Linked DNA regions of Drosophila melanogaster. The protein of the gene in region 2 interacts with the protein of the main gene of each other region in a pairwise test. Each region holds a gene or a part of one and is shown on either strand. Other genes may lie near its edges.

The links. Proteins that work in one complex are often made in the same cells at the same time.
Region 1: the proteins of Mes2 (region 2) and Mat1 interact in a two-hybrid assay, tested with the Drosophila melanogaster proteins (one large-scale study listed by BioGRID).
Region 3: the proteins of Mes2 (region 2) and CG15564 interact in a two-hybrid assay, tested with the Drosophila melanogaster proteins (one large-scale study listed by BioGRID).

What each region holds. Positions count from the first base shown.
Region 1 is NT_033778.4:10,738,077-10,741,350, forward strand, and holds Mat1 (menage a trois 1), read right to left. Parts: upstream 1,754-3,274; 5' UTR 1,645-1,753; coding exon 682-1,644; 3' UTR 541-681; downstream 1-540. Other genes in the region: CG33144 (uncharacterized protein), read right to left, coding at 2,853-3,110, 3,168-3,274.
Region 2 is NT_037436.4:22,943,652-22,951,658, forward strand, and holds the start of Mes2 (Mesoderm-expressed 2), read left to right. Parts: upstream 1-2,005; 5' UTR 2,006-2,135; coding exon 2,136-2,289; intron 2,290-2,343; exon of another isoform or gene 2,344-2,533; intron 2,534-2,618; coding exon 2,619-2,919; intron 2,920-6,880; coding exon 6,881-7,739; 3' UTR 7,740-8,007.
Region 3 is NT_033777.3:31,231,875-31,237,364, forward strand, and holds CG15564 (uncharacterized protein), read right to left. Parts: upstream 3,489-5,490; 5' UTR 3,408-3,488; coding exon 3,225-3,407; intron 2,347-3,224; coding exon 2,230-2,346; intron 2,165-2,229; coding exon 1,888-2,164; intron 1,831-1,887; coding exon 1,673-1,830; intron 1,604-1,672; coding exon 1,514-1,603; intron 1,457-1,513; coding exon 746-1,456; 3' UTR 541-745; downstream 1-540. Other genes in the region: CG15563 (uncharacterized protein), read right to left, coding at 70-420; qless, read right to left, coding at 5,354-5,490.

The DNA.
Region 1 (3,274 bases), on a different chromosome or scaffold from region 2:
CCCATGCATAGGTCGTTAAGTTAACCAGTTCATGTACTTGGCTAGGATAGTCCATCTGTGGCCAAAAATCTCGCAAGTGGCCCGATCGCAGAACACATTTACCTCTAACTGTGCAAGTAGATCTTAGGATGTGACGAGCTACTCGTCCGACTATCACACGATTTAACTATAATCCGTATAATGTATAAAGAGCAAGTTAAATCCAATGTATGTTTATCCAGCATATGTCTATAAATGCCTATAAATATTTACTGTTAAAAGTATTTAAAATAAAAAGAAGTCTGTAGTCGAACGAACCAACTGTTTTTCTGTTTGGCTCATTTTGATCTCTTGTATTTGTATTTAGAATACAAATTCAGGAAACTTTCTTATTTGAATAATTATCAAAATGAATAAGCTAAGTTTCTTTGCAAATGAAAGTTATTCTAATATAGACATGTTATTTTTTTTACTTCTTGTTTAAGGATTAATTTTCCTGCGCATCTATTGACCTACTATGTAGCCAACAACAATATATTTTTGAATAAATAATATCTATAACGTAGGATATAGCATTTATTTATTTAACATATATTAAGTTACGAGTTAACTGAATGGATTCGTATAGGACACATTTGTTCAACAAAATTAAGCGTTCAGTGCTCTGGTTGTGCGACCATTAAAGGATATTTTTTTAGAGAGCTAGGTGCCAGATACCACACCCGTTGTAGCCGTATAGTAGAGTCCCTGCAGCGCCTCCTGAAGCGCCCGTTCACAAGCCAGAGCGGATGTGAATCCGCCGGCGTTCTCCTGCGGTGTTTCAGCTCGTATGTGGGCAATATAGCCCCTGGACACGATCTCATTTGTGGGCGGCATGGCAGGTCCCTCACTGAAAGGAACAAGTGGCTCGTATACGAAAAGTGGACCCTCCTCCGATTTGGGAACGGGCAGCAGACTGGGATCAGCTGTCTGTCCGAACTTTATGCCCGTAGAGAACTCGTTGGCGGGCTTCGGCGGTGGAAGCTGTTTCTCCTCCTCGCGCTGCTTTTCCGCTTTTTCGGCGAACTCGGTGACAATTTGGGCGGCATCCTTGCCGCTGTACATCAGCTCCTCGATCAGCGCCTGCTTGTCGCGGGCCTTCTTCTTCTTGTGCTCGTTCTCCAGTTCCTCCAGCTCCTTCCTACGCGCCTCCTCCTGAACTTTCTCCAGCTCCAGCATCTCCTCCAACGCGTACTCATCGCGTCCCACGCGGGTTTTATTCCGCTGAATGACCTCACGGTTATCACGCTTGTAGGCCTCAATACGCTTGTTTGTCTCGATGATGTCGATGTTGTTGCACAGATTGTACACAATGTCCTCGATCTCCTCCAGATAGTCATTGTACTCCGCCAGGGAGGCAAAGTCCTCCTCACGTTTATTGTAGTCGCGCAGAATTCGCCTACGAATATCCACCTCCTTCTCCACCATTGGGTCCTCAAAAAGCTGCACGCGGAAGTTGTTGCGCCGCAATGGGACCATGCACTCTGGACAGGCGCCGGATCCTTTGAGGAACAGCAAGTCCACGCAAGATTCGCATAATGTGTGTCCGCAAACGTTGACCATCAGCTTGAGCGATGGATTCCGGTATTTGGTGGTCTTGCACCGCGGGCACGCCTGGTCGTCCATCGCGTAGCCGGTTTACCTGTCCTCCTCTCTGCTGCTTAAATCCGTAAATAAAAACTCTTTGCCGGCCAATGTTTTCGATAAATTATTATTTGATGCATTCCCTAATGTGACCATGGTTGGCCCGTAATGTCATGTTTGTGATTTCGCTTAGTAACTTTAGTTCACATCTAGCACATACACGAACCACAAACATAGCGTTGCCATACTATATGCATGTTTTACAATAGCCGTTACAAGCTTGAAAATTTAAAGCTTGAAATGAAGCCCATGAATATGAAATGAGAATTTTAAGCTATTAAATAACCCAGTACTTTAATAAAAGCCAATTCCATAGTTTTCTTTTAACATTTTTATTTCAAACAGCATACGCGGTAGTTGTTCACATTAAGAGTAAAGTTTAAATATGTTTTCTTTAAAGATACACGCACTTTTATGTCATACGTATTTTGATATATGTGTTCTGAGTGTATATGCATTAAATAATTCAATAATTTACATTAACCAAATCATCCCCAGCTAGGTGCACCTGCCAGCTTTTAGGCAAGCGACCCGAGAGCAGCGATTTGATATACATTTGTTTTAGCTGCGTAGTAAAATTTACAATTAAATACATTCAATAAACAGTAGTAGTGACATCATATACACCTCCTTTATATGCAGTATATATATTTTTTTGCGTAGATAAAAGCATTGCCAAGCAGTTGATCAAAGTGACCCATCAATTTTGGGTGTTAGTTGCATGCGTAATACTTGAGAGAAGGATTGAGTGGGTGAGTCGGGCGATTTTGTTTGGGTGGGTGCGTTATAAAAGCACTGTTGCAATACGAGGCGTACTCCTAATATATTTAGACTAACTTATGCGCTAGGAAGAGAACCTACTCGATTTATACAGATTGATTTAGTCGAATATATATTCAAAGGTGTGGTTAGGGGGAGGAAAGAATATATGTAGAGACAGAACCTAAAAAGAATCGAAGGCGTCTTGTCTTTGTATAGGTTCTCAACAAATTTGTCGATTCAATTAGAAATCGAATCACTGTAAATATCACAATTTAGTTAACACATATACAATTATAATTGTAATAACTAAAATAAATGTACGTAAGCTGTCGTCATTAACAATAGAAACTACCAGTAATTACAGCAGCTGCATTTACAGGCTGCAGCCTATGTCGCGTATGGATGGGGATGCGTGGAGATCCAGCCACCTAGCCCTGCAGCGCAGTGACCTCCTCCTCCAGTTCGGCGTCCACCTCGTCGATCTTGGACCCGGTGCACCCTCTGCACTTGCAGCAGATGATGCAGGGAGCAGCCAAGAGCAGCAGCGGCGAGGCCACCAGCAGCAGAATGCCAAAGCCGGCGAAGATCCCAATCACTTGGGCACGATGCCAGACCACCGAGGCCCGCGAGTGCCCCAGCTTGTTCTTGCACGGTCCCTTGTCGTAGTGGCGCAGCAGGAAGTCATCCTGCAGGAATACAAATTAGATGAAATATCCTAGACTTGCCAGATTCTAGGAACTTACATCCAAACTGGCCAGGCAGTACCAGCAGAAGACGTGCTTGCAGCGCTTGCACATCATCTGGGCGCAGCCCTCGTCCTTTTCGATGGGCACCGCGCACATGGGGCAGC
Region 2 (8,007 bases):
CACTCCTTGGCAAGACCAACATGTGTGATCCAAATGTTCATTTGTAAATTCTATAAACGGGGAAATACGATAATGAACTGAACTTCGACTCTACAACTGCAGCGAACGAAGCCAGCCACGGGCGGAGTCCACAAAAACACACTGTGGTAGAACACTAACCCACCCTTCTTCAACTATTCATTGCTTAAGCTATGGCCAGGCCCCCTGGAAAAAAATTATAAATCTTTAAGTCAAGCAGCCAGCCATTGATGGAATCAGATCGTCCGATGAGTATATTTAGCCCTCTTTACATTTAACAACAAATTTGTGCTCTTATATCGTAAATTCTACACAAAATTATTTATCTTCCAGTAATTATACTCGTTACTCGTAGTATAAAAGAGTATATTAGATTCGTTAAAAAGTATTTAACAGATAGAAAGTATTCATATTATTGATCAGGATCAATAGCCTGTCCGTCCGTTGAACGTCGAAATCTCAGGAGCTATAAGAACTAGAAGGTCAAGATTATGCATACAGATTCTAGAAACATAGACACAGAGCCAGTTTGCTTCCACGCCCACAAGTCGGGCAAAACTGTCACGCCCACACTTTTGAAAACTGTTTTGATATTCTTTCATAGTTTTATTAGTCTTGCAAATGTGTATGGTTTTGCAAAAAAACTTTTAAAAAAGTTTTGATATTTTTTCATCTTTTTTAATTATAAATTTTTATCGATTATGCCACACCCACTATCGACCGTAAGCCGCAGAAACCTGTCACGGACACACATTTGAAAAATATGTTATATCTTTTTTTCACATTTTTATTAGTATTGTAAAATTCTATCGATTTGCTACAAAAACTTTATGCCACGCCCACTCTAACGACCACAAACCTCCCATTTCTTCTTGTCCAATATCTATCGATGGTCCTAAAAAATTATGAAATTTCGCGTTCTCACTTCCACTAGCTGAGTAAAAGGTATTTGATATTCGGGGAACTCGTGCGTTCTCTCTTCTTATTTATTTAAAACAAGAGAGAACAATAGTCGATTACTTTCGACTATCAGATACCCGTTACTCAGCGAATTTTGAGATTTTTTTTGTCATTTCGATGGAAATTTACATTTATATAACAAAATGAAATGAAAATCAAATCCCTTTTCACAACTGAGAGCAGGATACCTGGCCAATAAACGGTTTCATGGCGTCTGGATAGGCTTGCGAACGCACTAACTTGCATGCGAACGGACAGGCGGACAGATCAAGATTATATGTATGTGTGTACTCCAGTAAACTTATAATTATTATGTTAGTCTAAAACCTTAATGCGTTGGAGATTTACAATAAATGTATGTACATATGTACATAGTCATGAATTCTTTAAATTCCTCGAAATTGTTCCGATACGGGAATCGACCCCCCTATATTAATTGAAGCTGATATGGCCGAAGTGCAGCGTATTCTGCCAAGAAACGCTATCCAAGTATTTTGGTACGTATGTATGTATGTACATACATGTGTATATGGTACATTCATGTAGTACATACATACATATGTATGCAAGTACGTACGAACGCTCGACAATTCCTCTGCTAAAACCAAATGCGAACGCGTCAACGGATTTTTGTATTACACACATTTTCTGTTGTTTCGTTCTGCGCGTTCTCCCTGTTGTGTGTGTGTGTGTGTGCGACGCCGCTTTTCGCTTGCTTTTACTTTCTGTGGCTTGTGATTGCGATTAAACGGGGTTTCCATCCGGCGAGTCGCGCTCTAGGCAGCGCCCGGAGAGCGCTTTAGACCTATATGTCTGGATCAGATAACGGGAACGGTGGCAGCGAGCCACGGCCGGAGAGAGACAGAGAGCGCAAAGAGCTATAGCTGGCTCTCATGTCGATGTCGAATGCGCGTGATTTTTTGGCTCTGAATGCGGGCTTGCTGCCAACTGCGCTGCCGGCTCGGCGTCGACGACGGCTGAGCGCAGCCCGCTTGCCGCGGTGGTTGTTATTTTCTGGTCTTGGTTTTTAGTTGCCGTTTAAACTTGGTCGTGAGAGGGTAGCAGCCCCGTTATCAGCCGACCGCGATCGCGTCCGAACTAAAGAGTACTGTGGAGCCCTGGCCAGTTCAAGCCTTCAAATCCTCCAGAACATTCTGATGGCGCCCGTGAGCGGCTGTTTGCCCACCGCCACCCACTCGCTGCAGGACATGAGTGCTGCCGCCGCGGCAATCGCTCTTGACATGAAGCCCAAGTTGGAGCCCCACCCCCTGGCCGCCGCAACTGCCATGCCCTCTCAGAAGATAAAGAAATGTGCGTACACAGATTTATTCCCCACATTCATGCAAACATACGTACATACATATGTATATATGTACAATTTTTATGCAAAATGCAGTCGAAAGTCGATACGTCGAACAAGCAGTAGAATTTATTTTATCTCTTCATTGCCTATTCAAATAGTTCGGTTCACCCTATGTGCAATGTACATACATATACGTACATACGTATGTATGTACATTTGGGTTAAAAAAGTTCGACTTATAGAAGTTTTGAGGTGCCTGTACCGTGCTTTCTTAAAATATTCGACTGTCGAGACTCGAGGACTTATATTATTTGCATTCATTTTTGTGTCCCAACAGTGGTTCGGCGCAACGCCTCCGACAAGCTGAAGCTCATCCAAATGGTGCACGACAATCCAATTCTCTGGGACTCCCGTCTCCCGAATTTCAAGGGCGCCGAAGAAGAAAAGAACCGAGCCTGGGAGCACATAGGCCGCGAGTTCAACGCTCCCGGGCGTCGCGTTGCACGGGCCTTCAAGTCCTTGAGGGAATCCTACCGCCGTGAACTCGCCCACGTCAAGCTAATGGGCAATGGCTTCAAGCCCAAGTGGAGTCTCTATGAGGCCATGGATTTCCTGCGCGATGTCATCAGAGAACGAAAGTAAGTATAAGGAATAGTATTTTAGTGAACTGGTGACCAGGTGATTCTCTTAAATTTAAAACCGTCAAGGAAGTTTCATGCCAATATCGACTCCTGGGGTTGACCAGTAATATAGAGCCCGTTATGAATTTTGCATTCTCTGCTTGACCCATTATTGCCACACCACAAATCATGTCACTAAAAATGATCTTCATCCAAATGGCTTTACAAAAGCAAAAGCAATAATAGAACACGAGAGAAGAGCGCTTAAATTTAAAATTTGACAGAAATACGAGTCATTCTTATAATCGAATAGTAAAGTACATGAAATTCTATATCAACGAATAATTATTACAGAACGTATTGCACTTATTTCCAAGTTTTCTTTTAATCTTTCTAGGCAATATTTACCTTTCCCAAAATGATCTTAATTAACGTACTTATTCTTATCCTCTGCTTTTTGGAGATCGATACCAAAACAAATCTAAAAGTGGAACCGTTATTTCTCAAAAGTAATGCTCCCTTACGACTACAGTTCTTCAATAATATCGTCTTACACTCTGAACATTATTTGTGTCAGGAGTACATTTGGCTACTTATATTACAATGAGTTTGATAAGCCGTCACTAACCATACAACCATCGAACAACGGTCAAAGTTTGGCTTGAGTCGTGAATAACAGTTTTCGGTTTAGATTGGTCTTCTGTTTTGGTCATACACGGATTGATTCATGCGAAACAAATACATGCATCAGTTTGAAGACTAGCTAACTTATACACAATAATAATGTGACTCACCTTTCCAACGATCATTTACATTGGTCGAAGGTATTGTATGCTTTCCAGTCCTGTGTCTGAAAGAGGTTTTTCCGAATCTGCCCCCCTAAAAATATGTGTGCTTGTCAGTAGTCAGTCAAGCGAACAATGTTGTTTAGCTTGGCTCAATCAAAAATAATTATTGCAGGAAATTCCAAGAATCTTATCATTTTATGCGAGTAGCCACTTCAGCTTATGTACACTGAGAAGTGTATGAGTTTGTGAGTCATGGCTTAGATCTAATGTTGGACAAAATATGTCAATAAATTTATTTCAAAAATCATAGAATCACGGACTTCGTAAAGATCTGACAATTTAAATAAATTGAGAATTCGGAAATATGTTCAGATCGAATAGACAATACATACAATTGTCACATAAAAAACATGTGATAAGTTTAGCATAAAGTTATTCGAACCGTAACTACGAAATTCCACTTCCATTCGAGCCTTCGTACAAAACTCATCCCTTAGCCCAGTCGATTTGCATAAACGCCCAACAATTCGAGCAAATCTCAGCACCGTGTCTGAGAAAACATCTGCCCAGCGAAAAAGAATAGCAAAAACAAGGCAAGGGGGCATATGGACACTAAGGAGCGGTAATGTGGAAAAAACCAATCCGAACAAAGGAATGACCGGGCCAGAGACCCGCAAATGGTCTCAGTCGAGAGTCTGCCCCGTCCAATGTTCTGGCTCATATGGAGCCGTGCTCGAGCTGCGGGTGTGTGTGTGTGTGTGAGTGTGTGTACTTTATGTACATATTTATATGAAATAAGGCCATTTCCTTTCAATTGACTGTACCCACATGGGCAACAAGCAGTCGACGGCCCCGACACATGCCCGCGCACACTCACCCATGGTGTGTGTATATATTTAAATTTTTATTATTGTGAGCTGATAACAGACAGCTCAACGGGCCCGGCCAGTCGGGCAGCGCTTGAGCCGGAGCTATAGCCGCAGCTATAGCCACAGCCATAGCCATAACACAGATCTCGCCAAGCGGCGAATATTATACAACGTCGCAGCATCGTCGCTGCTTGAACCAAAAACGAAATTGAGGGAAGCTGCAAACGCAAGACCAAGTCCATCGAATAGTGCTTGCGAGAGGGGTGGGGACTATGGGAAGGCGCCGAGAGAGCGATAAATTAATGAGAGCACTACGAAAATGACAATCAGCACCGAAGAATACGGATTGCGAGTGGACCAAGTTGGGAAAGACTGGTAGCTCGTGAGCGAGAAAGGGGCTGGTAAGGGAAAATGAGCGAGGTTCTGCCTGTGTGTGTATGACATGAGCACCGAACACTCGTAAAGATCGCTGTATGGGTGAGCTGAGTAATTGAACGAATAGCTTGGTCTGACTTCGGCCAGGGTTAAAAATATGCCCACGACCATTAGCCAGCCGCATCGGCCGCGTCCCGGCCAAGGGGTTGCTGAGACCCAGAGTCGGGGTCTGGACGCCTCTTTCAGGCTGCCCTGGCCCACATGCTTTCGTCGTTCAGTCCTCTCTTAATGGGGGGCTCTCGTACCCTCACCCTCACACACACGAGGCCACTTGGGTGTGAAAGTTCTGCTGGGCTCTGTCTGTGTCACGCTTATGATTTAATAAGCAAATGTGCTGCGAAATTGCTGAAATTGTTTGGCTGTCCGTCATCCCCACAATCCGAATCTCGCCCCACGCCCTGAAATCACTGTCCGCCGTATTTCGCATTGAAATGCTTTAGCCAATGCGTCACGGAAGAAGAAAAGTGGGCGGTAGTCCGTGCTTGCCTTTTGATTCTCGTACCTTTAAATGCCTTTGCATGGAGCTAGTTCTTGCCTAATAAATCATAATAAAAAGTTCTAGGTCTGCAAAAATCTAAAATCTCATTCGGACCATTGGAATATTTAATTATGTTATTATTATATTAATATTCATAGATTTGTTTCCAAGTGCAGGTGATAGAGATTTTAGAAAACGAATTCAAACCACAAAAACCCATAAACAATCTCGGAAAACGGCTTGGGACCTAAGCAAGAGCGGAAGCAAATAATGATAAGCTGAGCGATTCAAACCCCGAAAAGAAACCAAGTCAAAATAATGAAGTAAATAAAGCCATTCCCGATTGTGGAACATGTGAAAATGTATTTCGACTCGATTAGTCCTGCGAGTTTTTTGGTCTTGGCTGGCGAGCGAGTATCAGTTTTCAAATTTTACAATTGTCAACTACCTGCAGCCGATTGCGGTGATAAGGCTGTCTTCTAGGTCGCCCATGCCCGTGCCTACCACTAGGCCAGGTCTTTGCATTCGGCAAATAACTATAGGTATGGGGGAGGCCCAAAATAGCCACGTTCAGATGTTCTTTGAGCACCCGGCCCAGGCAGCTGCATTGCCTGTGAAAATGCTCTTGAAACTTGAGACGCGTAAGGAGAGAGACAGGAAGCGATACTACACTGAAAGACATTTATGTTTATGCATTTCTTGTGTTATTGCCTTAAACAGACAAGATTTCAAAATGGGGATATGAATCGTTGAGTCACAGGAAACATATGAACTCTATAAGGCTAATACAATTATATTTTTGTGTGTTTTCGAACTCACAATTAATACGAACATGCTTTCCTTATCAGGGTCACTATCCGATCGCAATGTCCGTCGGCATAAAACAAAGCTAATTAGTTGATGACAACCTAGCAAAGTTTTACGAACTTATTGATTTGTCTTTCAGACTATTCTATTTCTAATTTTTTGCCCAACGTTTTGCAAATGATTATTGCCAGCATTATTTAATATTTTTTTATTTATTGTAATTAATATAATTTAAGATAAGAGAAAGAAAATCTGTTATACTATAAATGATGTGTGAGAGACAAAGAAAAGTATTCTTTCTACTTTTAATTTAAGAACGTAGGCGGTTCTTAAAGTGTATTAAAAACAATGTACATAACCACTAGTCACGGTTATATGTTATTGTATTTAATAAATTTATTAATCTTTTTGTATGCCCTTTTAAACAACCTCCTTCATCAAATTTTTATTAGTATTCAACTTAACATCAATACAAAATAAAAAAATACCGCAGACTTGCTGCGAATATGAATATTGAATATGACGCAAAAGTAAAACCCAACCTTAAACCCGTTAAAATGTGAAATAATTTAGTCTTCTAACATATGTTCTTTCTATTATAGGGGCGCTTCGCATGCAACCGATCTAAGCCTGACAACCTATGGCCATATTAACAATAACAACAACAACAACAACAACAGTAACAGCTTGGCTGCAGGGGGAAAGGCAATGACCCTGAAGCTGTCCAATTCCTTTAACGAGTCCGCCTCAGTGTTAAATCTCTCAAAGTGCTCCTCGCTCAATGTAAGCGACGATCACTACTATTGCGACTACTATGTGAAGCCGGAGCTGGATCTCTCGGTGGGCGGTGGGGCCGGAAGTAGCACAAGTGGGAGTAGCTCCGGCGGCGGGCCACTTCCTCTGCCCGCTCACCAGGCTCACAACGACAGTCGGGTGAGCTCAACGAGAAACGAGCAAAGGGCACAGCATCACAGCTATGAAGACATGGACGACAGCTCGATACGCAGCGGGGACGAAGATATCGCCCACGCATCCGACGTAGTGGAGGAGTTGGATGCCATCGATGCAGATTTCCCTTATCCTCTGATTCTGGATTCCAACTCACGCGGTAGCCCCAATGTTGGTGTGGACGATGTGGTCATGTCCCGCAAGCTTCGCCGTAACGTCGATCAAGATGTTTTGGAGGAAGGAAACGGTCACGGCGATGCGGTTATCGATGGTGACGACTACGAAGAACAAATGCTGCAACAGCACCGCCATCTCCGGCAGCAACAGGGCGTCGCAAGCGGAGGGTTGGATCTGCCGCCCCCACAAACTGTACGTGAGGTTTTGAACTCCAAGTTCTGCGGCTTTATTTCAGCCAAGCTAAACAGCATGGAGGACTCGGACGCGGACAATTTAATGAATCGCATTCTTCTCTTACTGGTTCAAGTGCAGCAGTGCGAAGGGTCCACGAAATAGACAGCGGAGGAGAAGAGCGCTAAGTGTACGGGTGTAATTATAGTAGCCAAAAAAAAGTACATAATGGAATGATGTTGCTGCTCAGAGCACTTATAACTGAATTTTCTTGCCATTATATATTACTTTCCTAAAGAAATACAAATTTACTTGCCAATGCCAAATCTGTGCCATACCAAAAGGATCAATCAAATATGAATGATTTTCTAAAACATTCTCTAATTTTTTCGCTCCTATTAACAAAAATGAACCAAACTCAACGAAAAGACAA
Region 3 (5,490 bases), on a different chromosome or scaffold from region 2:
TTAAGCGCACAAACTACGAGCCAGTCAGAAGGTGAGGGAATATCCTTGAATATCCAAGAATCCTTGGCCTTACGCCGATTCGCTGGCGCCATAGAGCAGATTGTCCAGTTTCAGTTTGTTGATCTTGTCGCCACGGGCTCCATGTCCTGGTCTGCCCCAGAACGTTTCGAATGTGTCGAAATGTTGGTTGCACAGATCCCTGTCCAGTTGCTTGGAAACGGAGACGGATCGACGGTTCTGCGAGATCTGGACATTCAGGTCGTGCAGATAGCGCATGTCGGCGGCCGTTTGAATCCTGGTTGCCGGTCGATTGGTGGGCAGCAATATTATAGTTTCATTTATATCAGTTCGATTTTTCAGATTTCGAATTTTCGATTTTCGGTTTTCAGTTCGATTTGTTTTGCACGGGGATACATACATAGAAGATTGGTATTATGATTTTTGACTTTTGCTGTTGCGGTTTGTTTGATTTTGGTGAGATTGGTATTTGGTTTGCTCGTTTGGTTGCTATACTTTCACTTGTATTACAATGGATATTTTCTTGCTGGATGAGCCGAGGAGAAGTGGGGGATTAGAGAAACCATTAACAGAACAAGATCACAAGGCAAAGGCATAGAGGGGCAAGCGGACTTTCGTTTCAATGTCTGGCGCAGAGCAAGCAAATGAGAAACGGTGGGAGCAGGGAGGTGGTGGAATGGTAGTACTATGAAAGCAGGAGGGGATCGGGATTGATAGAACGTGGGTTTCAAGCCTGGCGAATGTGCAGGGTCAGCCGCTTGAGGCAGCAGCCCGTGGCCAAGGCCGTGGGGCAATCGCAACTGCAACACTGCAGCTTGCAGTTCAGATTCTTGGGCAGCCGCTTCATGTGGCTAATGTTCTTGATGATGCTGTTGATGCACTTGATCTTGGTGGTGGTCAGCTGACAGTTCTTTGGTGGATGCTTGTGCTTGGATGCGTACCTATCGTGCGACGGTGTCCTCTTGGTCACGTCCGTGCTGGAGAGACTGATGGGTCGGTGCATGCCACGCCTTCTGGCGAGCAGGGGAACCAGCTCCACCCCACCACCTTCGCCATAGGCTCCTCCCTTTCCTCCCGCTGTGCTGGGATCCGGAGTGGCGGTACTGGTGCTCCCGGGACAGGGACCTCTCGACGCTATGCGGGGGCACAACTTGATGGGCTTGCTACCGCAGTCCTGCGGCTTCAAGTGGTGCAGCATTTTTCCGGGCGGCGGACCTGGCGGACCCGGGCACTTTTTGCCTGGCGGAATGGGAAGTGAGAGTGGCGACGGCTTGGGCGGACTCTTTTGCATGGCGGGACATTTGCAAGTGCACAACTCACAGCAGCGCTGCGGCTTTGGTGGCTTGCCTGGTCGCGATTTGCGAAAGGTGTTCTTCTCCGCGGGAGTCACCGGGTTATCTTGGTCCAACTCCTTCAGCATCTCCTTGTTCGTCCAACCCTGAAATTAGATTATATTTAAACAGTGTACATATGAGCACAAGCGACTGATACCCACCAGTGACTTCATGAACGTGTTGCCCACTTCCTTGGGACTCCGCCATGGCTTGCCGCCCGGACCCGCCTTGCCCCACGGCTCCTTGCAGGACTAGAAGGAGGACAGATAAAGAGGGATTAGTTAAACTTGGTTTCAGGGGGCGTAATAAGTGCCGCTCACCGGCTTTTCGAGTTTGGCTTGCAAGCGCTTCTTCTGAGTGGCCAGCTTTTCCTGCAAAGGACATCGCTGCTCACTCTCGCTGACTACGATCTTCTCCAGAAGCGGCTTCCCCTTGCACGGAGGAGAGGGCTTGTACCGCAATTCTATGTCCACATGGCCTTTATTGCGAAACGACATTGAAGGATGTTCTTTCAGCTCGATGTGAAGGCTCTCACCGTTGGCGTTTTTGGCCACATTGACACCAACTGCCGCTCCGGGCTTGTGCGGAATCTCCCGCTCGCAAATCGTTACGGTGCTGCTCCTGGGACCACTTTCCTGCAGGTGATGGACCGAGTGGGCGTGGCCCAGTCGGCCACCCGGCGGCGGAGCAGGCGGGGCGTGGTGGTGGTGGTGATGGTAGGCGGCCAGCGGGTTGTTGTGGCACTTCTTCTGCATCGAGAAGAAGTCGTTGTAGCGACACGGCTGCAGTAGATTCATTCGGTGGGCATTGGTCTGCGGCACATTCAAATTATTGGAGTAGAATATATGTTATTCGAGAAGGATTCAAGAGTCCTTACCACTGTGGGCGTCGAGTGAAGGCCAGCGGCTGTGATGTCCTTGCGTCGCACCTCTACGTTGGGTGCCCCACCACCAGGTCGACCCCAGGGACAATGTTGGTGAAACAGGTCGTAGTACTGGATAAAAGAACATTGTTGATACGAATTGATCTTCAACTTATTTCAGTAAAGATTGTGATGCTTGGAAAAATCGTTTAGGCAAACTAACGTATCCTCCGCTGAAATCATGAATCGCATTACCCGCAATAAAGTCACAACATAAATACATTAAATTACTTCCGCAGGACGATTACAACACCGAGTTATGCCTTATCGATTGGGTGGCAGCCTATTTGTGGCTCCAGACTGCCTCAACCCACCTCGTCGTGTCACTCCGCGAAGTGTGGCGATGTTTGTTTACGGAAATTGGCAAATTCAGGAGCTCCCGCTGCCCTGGCCCACAAAGTTTGTTAGTAGGTTGTTGTTATAGTTGCAGCGAACGGCGATTTGCATTTCACTGATTTTTTTCACCCACATTTCGGTTGGCGCTTTCACACAGCTGCAGGTTGTGATAGGTAGTGGAGCAAGGAGCCAGGACTCCAGTCACGCAAGGACTCGCAGGAGTTGGGCTTTTAGCCGAAGAGAGGGGATTTGATTACCGAAGTCGAAATTGTCAAAGGGTTTGTTGAACCAGATCCGCGGGGGCGGATGCCTTACATGTTGCTTGAGGCAGGTCTTTGAACTTACCAAAAGTTGCAACTATTGCGTGGCGGATGGTTCGAGATGTTTTTCGATTGTCATTTCGTTCGTTTCTGGTTTTGCCTTAGACTTAGACAAAGAACTTGGAACTTGGTGAATTGATTATGGCCTTTAAAGTTTTAAAACTAATATATTTAGGGTTCAGAGTTCCAAGCTTAAGGTGTTTCAGGTAACTACTAACAACTTTGCTTGGGGCCCTAAAATATAACTCATACGCACGGTCTGGAAATATCACACACATACGCACTGTTACCCACCTCCTGCTTATCCTTCTCCTTGCGAGCACACTCCTCCGCCTTCCGGCGCCGCCACATGCGAAGACTCTCCTCTGCATTCTTGCGCTCCACAAGACGCTTCTTCTCATCGCACCACATCAGCGGATGCTGGATGTGGTCGTGGCAGAAGTTGCCCCCCATGCCCATTTCATCGCTAGTCGTCATGGCTCTCTGAATGCTCTGGAGATCCTATCTGGATGTTTGGGAAACTGGTAGAACGAGAACAGAAGTAGCGCTGCGTTCAGCAAACGCGGCGTTACTGAATCGGTCTCGTGTCCCATCCAAGCCGTTTAACCGCCGAATTGGCTGCCAGGATCCGTGCCAGGCACTAAAGGGCCGTGGATGATGGGTCGGTTGTCTAGGCAGCACGCCCGACTATTTATAACCTAGGTTAAGGCACACTTCGGTCGTCTGTCCTTGAAGGCGAGTCGAAGGATATCGAAACCTCAGCTAATTTGGTCTGGCTATTTAAATATTTCGCCAGTTAGACACGATGTTTGCCTGCTCCACTTTGCTAGACTGCCTGGACATAAAATATATTGACTTTATGTTGCCTGGAAATAATGCCACGGCTGCGTTGGCTTAACCTGAATCGTGATGCTCTGTTTTAATGAAACGCAAAAGTAAGCCTACTGCAGTATAGCGTGCCACTTAATACGAAACTTGTTGATGTTTTAAAATGAAAAGCTCTTGCAAGCCTAAGCAGCAAGCATTACTCATACGCCCCGTGTGGCAGTTACAATTTCAGCCAGCAACTCACACCGCCAAATTTATTTGTTTGCCCCAATTTCGGTTTCAGCCATGCCCGTTGCAACATAAGGCATTTTGGCCATGTCCAAAACTATTTCACTGGGTCAACCTGGTTGGTGGTTAATATGTTGCATAGCTACAAGCGGCGAAATCAGCTCCAATTTGCTTGTTTTACAAAATCGAATTTTTATTCATCTCATTAGGTATACAAATATCGTAATTACATGTATCAATATCAACATCTGTATCATTATTTTGTCGTTCGCACTCTAAAATATGTGGGTATATCGTCGTCAGCACCCAATTGTATTGATTAACTAGCCAGCAAATTTCTGCATTATATCTTTCATTTGCCTTTCTTTCAGTGTAGAGCAGGCTGTAAAGGAGCCCAATGAATTTGCATCAAAACTAAACGGACAAAAAAACGAATTTCGCTGACTAACTTAACTGAGGTTGTGTTTATAAATTAAAATAAAAACTTACATCTAAAAAGATTTGTAGAACATTTCAACATTTGGGGTTTGCGGTTCGAATTCGTTTCAAATGTCTTTTAAATTACTATTGCATTAGAGGCGGAGAAGAAAGATTTAAAATTAAGACTGGGCAGCATTGTTTCACATACAATCCTCGTTACATTTCTTATAGAACATATTATAATATGCATTTCATGCGCGAATGGTTCAAAATATTTTATTTAATCCAGCTAAACTACGGGCTTTCCACTTTAAGTTACAAGTTTGTGCGGTCGGAAGGGATTTTAAACAGAGTGCAGGCAATGACCATTGAACCATTTAGGCATGAAATGCCCTAAATCAAGTATTAATATAAAATAAACCAATTATGCTCCTCGTGCTTCGTATTAAAAATATCGCTCTACACACTGGCTTTCTTTGTTGCATTGACTAATAAACATTTTCATTTTAAAGTAGATTCCACATTTGGTGCTCGCCTGGCAACCCATTTCCATTCATTTATTTGATGAAATGTTTGTACAATTTTCTCGTTTCCCCTATTGTTGTTGGCTTTTGGCTCATGTTTCGCTCTCTATACATATAAATAAATTTGTCGAAAAACATTGCATACAAAATTTGTCAAAAATTCATTAAACATCTTGTAATTATGTTATGTACAGCGATCGTTGCCATTTAGTGTGTGTTGATTAGGTTTTTTTATGCAATTATTTACAGTGTCAACAACAAATGCCTAAAAACTAAATAATAATTCTTGTTTACAAATTGGCCCGCCGGCTGAACAGGACTTAATCCAAACATCAATGGGCCTACATAACAATATTATTATTAATATTATTATTATTGCATTACGTGTATGGTTTATGTTAGGGTGTTCGGGTGCTCGGTACTCTACTTCATGCGGTTGATGACTAAGTCGGCGACCACCTGGAGACCCTTCTGGTAGGGCGACTCCGTGAGCTCCTGGGCCAGCCGTATCGCCTCGTTGCAGTGCTTCTTGGCCAGAAACCGGGTCTGCTCCAGACCGT